Linked DNA regions of Drosophila melanogaster. Changing the gene in region 2 together with the main gene of any one other region gives a genetic interaction. Each region holds a gene or a part of one and is shown on either strand. Other genes may lie near its edges.

The links.
Region 1: of Sgsh (region 2) and Sod2, changing one enhances a phenotype caused by changing the other (phenotypic enhancement), as found in Drosophila melanogaster (one study listed by BioGRID).

Annotation. Positions count from the first base shown.
Region 1 is NT_033778.4:16,772,238-16,775,524, forward strand, and holds Sod2 (superoxide dismutase 2 (Mn)), read right to left. Parts: upstream 1,679-3,287; 5' UTR 1,553-1,678; coding exon 1,518-1,552; intron 1,402-1,517; coding exon 783-1,401; 3' UTR 548-782; downstream 1-547. Other genes in the region: Arp53D (Actin-related protein 53D), read left to right, coding at 2,025-2,112, 2,166-3,287. UniProt on the Drosophila melanogaster protein: Destroys superoxide anion radicals which are normally produced within the cells and which are toxic to biological systems.
Region 2 is NT_033777.3:18,910,543-18,914,644, forward strand, and holds Sgsh (N-sulfoglucosamine sulfohydrolase), read right to left. Parts: upstream 2,381-4,102; 5' UTR 2,293-2,380; coding exon 718-2,292; 3' UTR 511-717; downstream 1-510.

The sequences.
Region 1 (3,287 bases), on a different chromosome or scaffold from region 2:
TTCTTTGGTAACTTACTTACGTTTAGAAGTTTAGAAGTTAAATTCCTTGATGGGCGTCAACAGTTCTCCTCACACACTCACAATCACAGTTCTTTATTAAATTATTATTGCACTCAAGTGGTTTATTTTGTATGTTTTTCATTCGTCACCGCCCTCAGGAAATTAAATGATTTTCCTTTGTTTCGTACTGGTCTCTCGATTTCAAAACTCCGGGCGATTTTCGAGGATGGCCATTACGCGAACAGGCAACAAACGACTCTGCCAGCGGCTGGCCATTTGTTCCACCATTCGGATACGCGTGCTGGAAAATTGTTTGCAGCTGCGCGCACGCAAGTTCGGGAAAACTCGGTGGAAATGTCAATTTTCCTCCCCCGATTTCGCGGCAGGCTGACTTTTGTTTTGTTTTTGTTTGGCTCGCGCACAGCTGATTTGCTAGAGATGGCACCATGGGCGGCAGTGTTGTAAAACATTTACAGTATTTGCGATATTTTAATTTAATATAAAAATTAATTTTTTTGGAGCGTAATAAAATTGATAAAAATAAAAAATATGAATAGGTATATGTATATTTTTTAATTCCTCAATGAAGTAATAGTTTCAATACGCCTTTGTGAAGCGTTATCTTCGGAAATTATGTTTTAAATTGTTTTATTCCCATTCATAAAAATTATAAAAATTAGTTGCTAGCTGGTACCAATTTATTAGCCGCAACTTAGACTACAATTTAGGATCTCCGATCCGCAGATGCTTATAGATTAAACATACGCAATCGCCGGCTGTGCTTAGCAACCGAGCTTCTTGGCCTCCTGGAAGCGGCACGAGATGTCATCCCAGTTGGCGATGTCCCAGATGGCCTCCACGTAGGAGGGACGCACGTTCTTGTACTGCAGATAGTAGGCGTGCTCCCAGACATCGATGCCGAAGAGCGGGATCAGGCCGGTGGAGGCCTCCAGGGGATCCTGGTTGGGCAGGGCGGCCAGTTGCAGTTTGCCCGACTTCTTGTTGAAGCCCAGCCAGCCCCAGCCGGAGCCCTGGACCGCCACGGTCAGCGTGGTCAGCTCCTTTTTGAACTCCTCGAGGCTCTTCCACTGCGACTCGATGGCCTTCTTCAGATCATCGCTGGGCTGGGTCTTGTTGGGCGAGAGGTTCTGCCAGAAGATGGTGTGGTTGATGTGGCCACCGCCATTGAAACGCAGGGCAGGAGCCAGCTGAATCAGCTTGGTGGTGTCGCTCTTCGACTTGGCCTCCTCCAGCTGCTCCTCGGCGGCATTTAGATTGTTGACGTAGGTCTGGTGGTGCTTCTGGTGATGCAGCTCCATGATCTCCCGGCAGATGATAGGCTCCAGGGCGGCATAGTCGTAGGGCAGCTTCGGTAGGGTGTGCTTGCCACGCACCGCCAGGCTGCAAAGGGTTAAGTGTGTCTTGTTTTATAATGTCCTCAAGATCAGGGTCGCCATTTGTTGCTATTTATGTAATCAGCCGGCATCGATTTGGGCATACTTTTTTTCGCAACTTACCTTGCAGTTTGCGAAATTTTACGGGCCACGAACATATCTGCGTTTTATTCGACTGCTAATAAGGCTAAGTCCCGATATCAGATTTTATATCAAATAAAACAAGGCTTACGTTCTCGTTATTTCGCTTGTTCTATTTGAACAATTTACTGCTAGAGATGAGCAGATGAGAAAATATCGAAAGACCCCAATCAGTCAGTGATGTGAGATCAACTTATATATATTGAAGTTAAATAGTAAAACTAAAAGAAATTAAAAACTATTTTTAATTGAAACATTGCACTGAAACATATTCAAATCATATTGAGGATTTCTTAAATATTTCTTATGTTTAAATACTACTTTAGTGACTATTAGCATATTTTAGCTGCTTACGTATCGACTGCATCCATTCGATTGATACTTGAATTAATCGATTTTTGGCCTCTGTATGTCATGGCGCTAAATTGGAAATAAACCATGAAATTAACGTCATAAGTTTAAAAATCCGACTGGAACACAGCACACAACATGTCTACATTTCAAATACCTTCCCGAATCAAAATCGATATAACAAATAAACGGGCACAGAACATTCTTCACAAATATCTACATTTACGTAAGTTGCTTAAATAAGCTAAAGATTTTATGATTTGACCATGATTCGTTCAGCAACCTCTCCTGGAAACATGAGCAGCGAGGTAGATAGTAATTCACACCACGCCGCAGTGGTTATTGACAACGGCTCTGGAGTATGTAAGGCTGGATTCTCCCCAGAAGATACTCCCCGTGCTGTCTTCCCGTCGATTGTGGGCAGACCTCGTCACCTGAACGTCCTGCTGGATTCCGTGATCGGTGATAGTGTTATTGGCGAGGCGGCAGCCCGAAAAAGGGGAATACTAACCCTAAAGTATCCCATCGAGCACGGAATGGTCAAGAACTGGGATGAAATGGAGATGGTTTGGCAGCACACGTACGAGCTCTTGCGGGCGGATCCAATGGATTTGCCGGCTCTACTCACCGAAGCCCCACTGAATCCGAAGAAGAATAGAGAGAAGATGACAGAGATTATGTTCGAACACTTTCAGGTGCCAGCTTTTTATGTAGCAGTTCAGGCTGTGCTCTCACTTTACGCCACCGGGCGTACTGTGGGCATTGTGGTGGACTCGGGTGATGGTGTGACGCACACGGTACCGATCTACGAAGGATTTGCCCTGCCCCACGCCTGTGTACGAGTTGATCTGGCCGGCAGGGACCTCACCGATTATCTATGCAAGCTGCTTCTGGAGAGGGGCGTTACAATGGGCACCTCTGCTGAACGGGAAATCGTGCGTGAAATCAAGGAGAAACTCTGCTATGTGTCAATGAACTATGCCAAGGAAATGGATCTCCACGGAAAGGTGGAAACCTATGAGCTGCCAGATGGGCAGAAAATCGTTTTGGGCTGCGAGAGATTCCGCTGCCCGGAGGCTCTCTTCCAACCCAGTTTGCTGGGTCAGGAGGTGATGGGCATCCACGAGGCCACCCATCACTCGATAACCAACTGCGACATGGATCTGCGAAAGGATATGTATGCGAACATTGTTCTCTCTGGCGGTACGACCATGTTTCGTAACATCGAGCATAGATTCCTGCAAGACCTAACCGAAATGGCTCCACCATCCATCCGAATCAAGGTTAACGCTAGTCCAGACCGCAGATTCTCCGTTTGGACGGGTGGTTCCGTCTTGGCCTCACTCACGAGCTTCCAAAACATGTGGATCGACAGCTTGGAGTACGAAGAAGTTGGTTCCG
Region 2 (4,102 bases):
ACTACAACAGAAGCATTGAAATTTTCGATTTTCCACACACAGACACAGGCAGCCGCCAGCACACCCTCCCCTCCCCTATCCCACTGACCCAGTGGGCATGACATTGAAACGTGACGCAGCATCCAACCCCTGATGCCCACGCCTCCAGTCCAAAAAGTGGGTGAGGTCATGCTGCCAGGACACGAGTGTTTGCCAGTCTGGGCTGATGCAACCAATTCAGTCAGTGGGGGAATCTTCAGTCTTCTTTCTTTGCCAATTCTGTTGGCTATTTTTTTGGCATTGCGCAGGTGAAAATCAAGGCAATATATTTTTATCTGTTTGTTTGTAAAAAGCAATTAAAGTTTTCCCTTAATGTAAACTTGGAAATTTGTTCAAAGAACATACATATGTACATACTCTAAACAAATGCTTAATTCTTATGATTACCATTGCTTTTGAAAACATTGATCTTTTTATTAGCCATGCTTAAAGATTAGCAGCTCGCTTCAAAGTTAAACAAAGTTTATTATTGAAAGTATTGTATGTTACTTTTTTTTTATTATTTTAATAAGAATATACATTAATATAATATTATCATTTCTACCTTTTGCAATTCCTATTTGTATGACCGCAACTGTAACGGCATGTGAAGTGAAAAACATTGGCATGGTTGAGTTATCAACCATTGGACATGCGATAAGACAACACACCCAATCTATTGAATACTCTTAGTCAGACCTACGAGAAGACCACATACTCCTCATACTGACCGAGAATCCTGCGCTTGGGCCGCTGCAACGCCTCGTGGCCCAAGGTCAGACAGACGGGCTGATCCTTGTAGACGCCCTGCTCCTGGAGCACAGCGTGCGGAGCACATCGCCAGGGATCCTTGGTGGCTACCTGCCAGTCGAACAGTTGCTCGCGTAACTGCTTCAGGGTGCCATTGTACTTGGCCTTATCGGCCAGATTGAAACGCTCCAAGGGATCCGTCTTAATGTCGTACAGCTCCCATTCGGGTCGCTGGTAGTACTGCAACAAGGAACGATACCATGGCAGAGTTTGCTTCCTGAGAGTGGCATTCAATATCTGCTGGAATGTGGGTGAAGTGTAAAAGTCCTGGTCGATGGGGAAGTCTGCCCAGTAGTTGATATTATGGATAAGCTTGTAGCGCCTATTGCGCACCATTCTCATGGGATAGGCCATGGTCACCTCGTGGTAACTGTGACTACCGAACACCGAATCGCTCTCCTTGATCGGAGGTTCCTCCCGCAGTACTGGGAGTATCGATCTGCCAACGATTTTGGTGTCATTCGGTCGGGGAATCTGAAGAGCATCCATTACACTGGGGTATATATCCAAAAGACTGACCATGGCAGCAGTGGCTTCATGATGACGATCCTCCTTATTGGGAGAGCTAATGATCAGGGGCGATCGTATGCCGTGCTCGTAGAGATTGGTTCTGCCTCCGGGAAACGGTGGTCCATTGTCGGAGGTGTAGATCACGAGTGTCTGATCTGCCACGCCGGCTGCTTCTAGCTCCTTCAGCATTAGACCAACTCCCTGATCCAACCTCGAGATGGTCATGTACTGAGCAGCCAGCTCCTGACGCACTACATCCGTGTCGGGCAGCCAGGCGGGCACGTCCAGGTTACGCCAATCGTAGTAGATGGGCTTCCAGTCGGGTATGCTGCCCATTCCCTCCTCTCCGCTGCCCCAACGCTCACAGAATTCTCCAAACTGCGGGGTGATGTGGCCACAACGATGGGGATCATGGAAGCCGACCATCAGGAAGAAGGGTTTCTTTTCGTCCTTGGCCTGCTTGAGAAACTGCCTGGCATACTCCTTCATCCGGGTGATGTTTCTGCCAATCTGGTTGATGGAATGCTGCTCCTCTGTTTGCTCGAAATCGAAACGGAAATTGTTGGCGGCCCCAACATGTTTCTTGCCAATGATGCCGCTCAAGATCCGTCCGCCACTTTGATCACGGATTAAATTGGGCAGCGATCCGGTATCCGGAAGAACATTGAAGTTGTGCACGCCCTGATGGAGTCCATACATTCCGCTGGAGTGACCAGCCTGGCCGGTGAGCAACTGCGAGCGACTGGGACTGCAACTGCTTACCGAGGTGAAGGCGTTGTTGAAAAGCAATCCGCGTTTTGCCAGTGCGTCCAGATTGGGAGTTTGGCAGAATTTGTTCAGATAGGCGCCCGATTCGAAGCCGGCATCGTCAGCCAGAAGCAGCAGGACATTCTGCGGGCCAGCGGAGCAACCAGCAATTAGCCATAGTGTAAAAATCCACTGCAGAAATTGCATGTTGACATAAATCCAGTTCCAAATCCAAATTAAATATATTTGAGAGCGCAGAACAAAGCGATTCTTCAGTCGACGTCAGCGTACTGAAGTACGGCTCAAGAGAGCCGCATACTTTTAAGTGTCCACAAAGCCTCTCATTTCTCCGTTCTCCGTTTAAGACGCATTCAATTCCATTCCCAGTTCCAGTTTTAATCTCATCAACACAACAAATGCTCAGCGGGAGCGCGCCTAGGTACATTCACTTTGCCCGACTTTCTTTGGGAGCGGTTTGACTACAGTCAACACACCATACAGAGAACTAAAGTGTGAGGGTACTGTACAGTCATACGATTAAAGAATCATCATAAATATCAGTGAGATATATCTGAACAGTATAAAAAACAGCACTTCCACAAAAAAAATGTTTCATTTGAAATTTAAAATGCTTTAAAAACACTTTACATTTATAAACCATTAAAACACAGCCAATGAGCTGTTATAAAACATATGTACATTTAACTAGTATATATTCAACTGTATTGTATTGTAACATTTTGTGTACTTTGGTAAATTATAACCCGCCATATAATAATAAGCAGTATTCTTTTGTGACAGACATGGAAATAGATTTAAATCACCAAGAGTTTGGTTTGCATGACTCTGGCCATTAGGTGATCAACACGTTGTACTTTCTGATTTTATCTTGCGCCATGGAGAAGATAAAAGCAGGAACAGTGTCGCCAAATGGAACCACGTCAGGGTGTCAAGGCCAATCGCAAAGTGCAATGCGATTGTATGTTTTGAAAAATTATAAATCTACAAAACAAATGTTCGTTCTGCTTGTTTAGGCTTTTCTGTGTCGAAATGCGCAGTTTCTTCCAGCGACTAAAGAGTTTTCACATTGGGTGAGCTCATCTTATGTAAGTGGACAACCCCCAAAATGAATCATCGGCCGGCTAATTTAAGCCAGCCAGCCAGCTACAGTTTAAGCCACCCCCTTTTTGCCCTGCACCGGTGTGAAAATTTCGCCCAACATGTTTAACAACACTATGAGTTTTCCAAAAGTTGTGGCAACATGTTGCCAAGAGATTTTCGCAGTCTCTGGCAACAAGCCAACAATACGAATCAGCTGGGCCAGACTAAAACAGCTGTTGCAACGTGTGGCAAGTGTTGCATCAGCCAATCTCAACCAGCGAGAGAGAGTTTCACTCACGTGGAGAGAAAGAGTGCGAATCTGTATTGTTTGTTGTTGCTGCATGGCAGGCTGCCAAACCAGTTGCCCTATACCTTTTGGAGCGGACATAGGTGACATATGTAACCATAAATACTTACATTTACATTAAAAATCCTGTGAATGATCATATGAATATAAATGAATATTTAGGCGCGAAAAAATACGCAAAGTATTGAACTATACTTAAGTTTCGCGGCTTTTTATTAAATACCAGTTTATTAACCCTTTGTGAGCAAACATAGTTGCTATTACTTACAACCTTAATATCTACGTTTCTAAATTATCTGGGTGCAGAGTAAAATTTATTCTTTTTTTTTAGCTTCTCTTATCTATTGTAGCCAATTTAGACCGAAATGCTATCTGTGCAATTTTCAGACTGTCGCTAGCCAAATAATATGAACGGCTATGAATAATCTGTCTGCGTTTTGCACAGTTTATTGAAAATATATATATTTTTTGTTATATTAACTTAACTGTGTTGTATGTAATACTTTGCCTCAAGTTAATAGCACATGGAAATTTTTTTTTTTCAGAACTTAAATCAGTTGATGCTAATGCATTGTTTACACCTTTTTCAGCTGCTTTCAACCAGCTAAG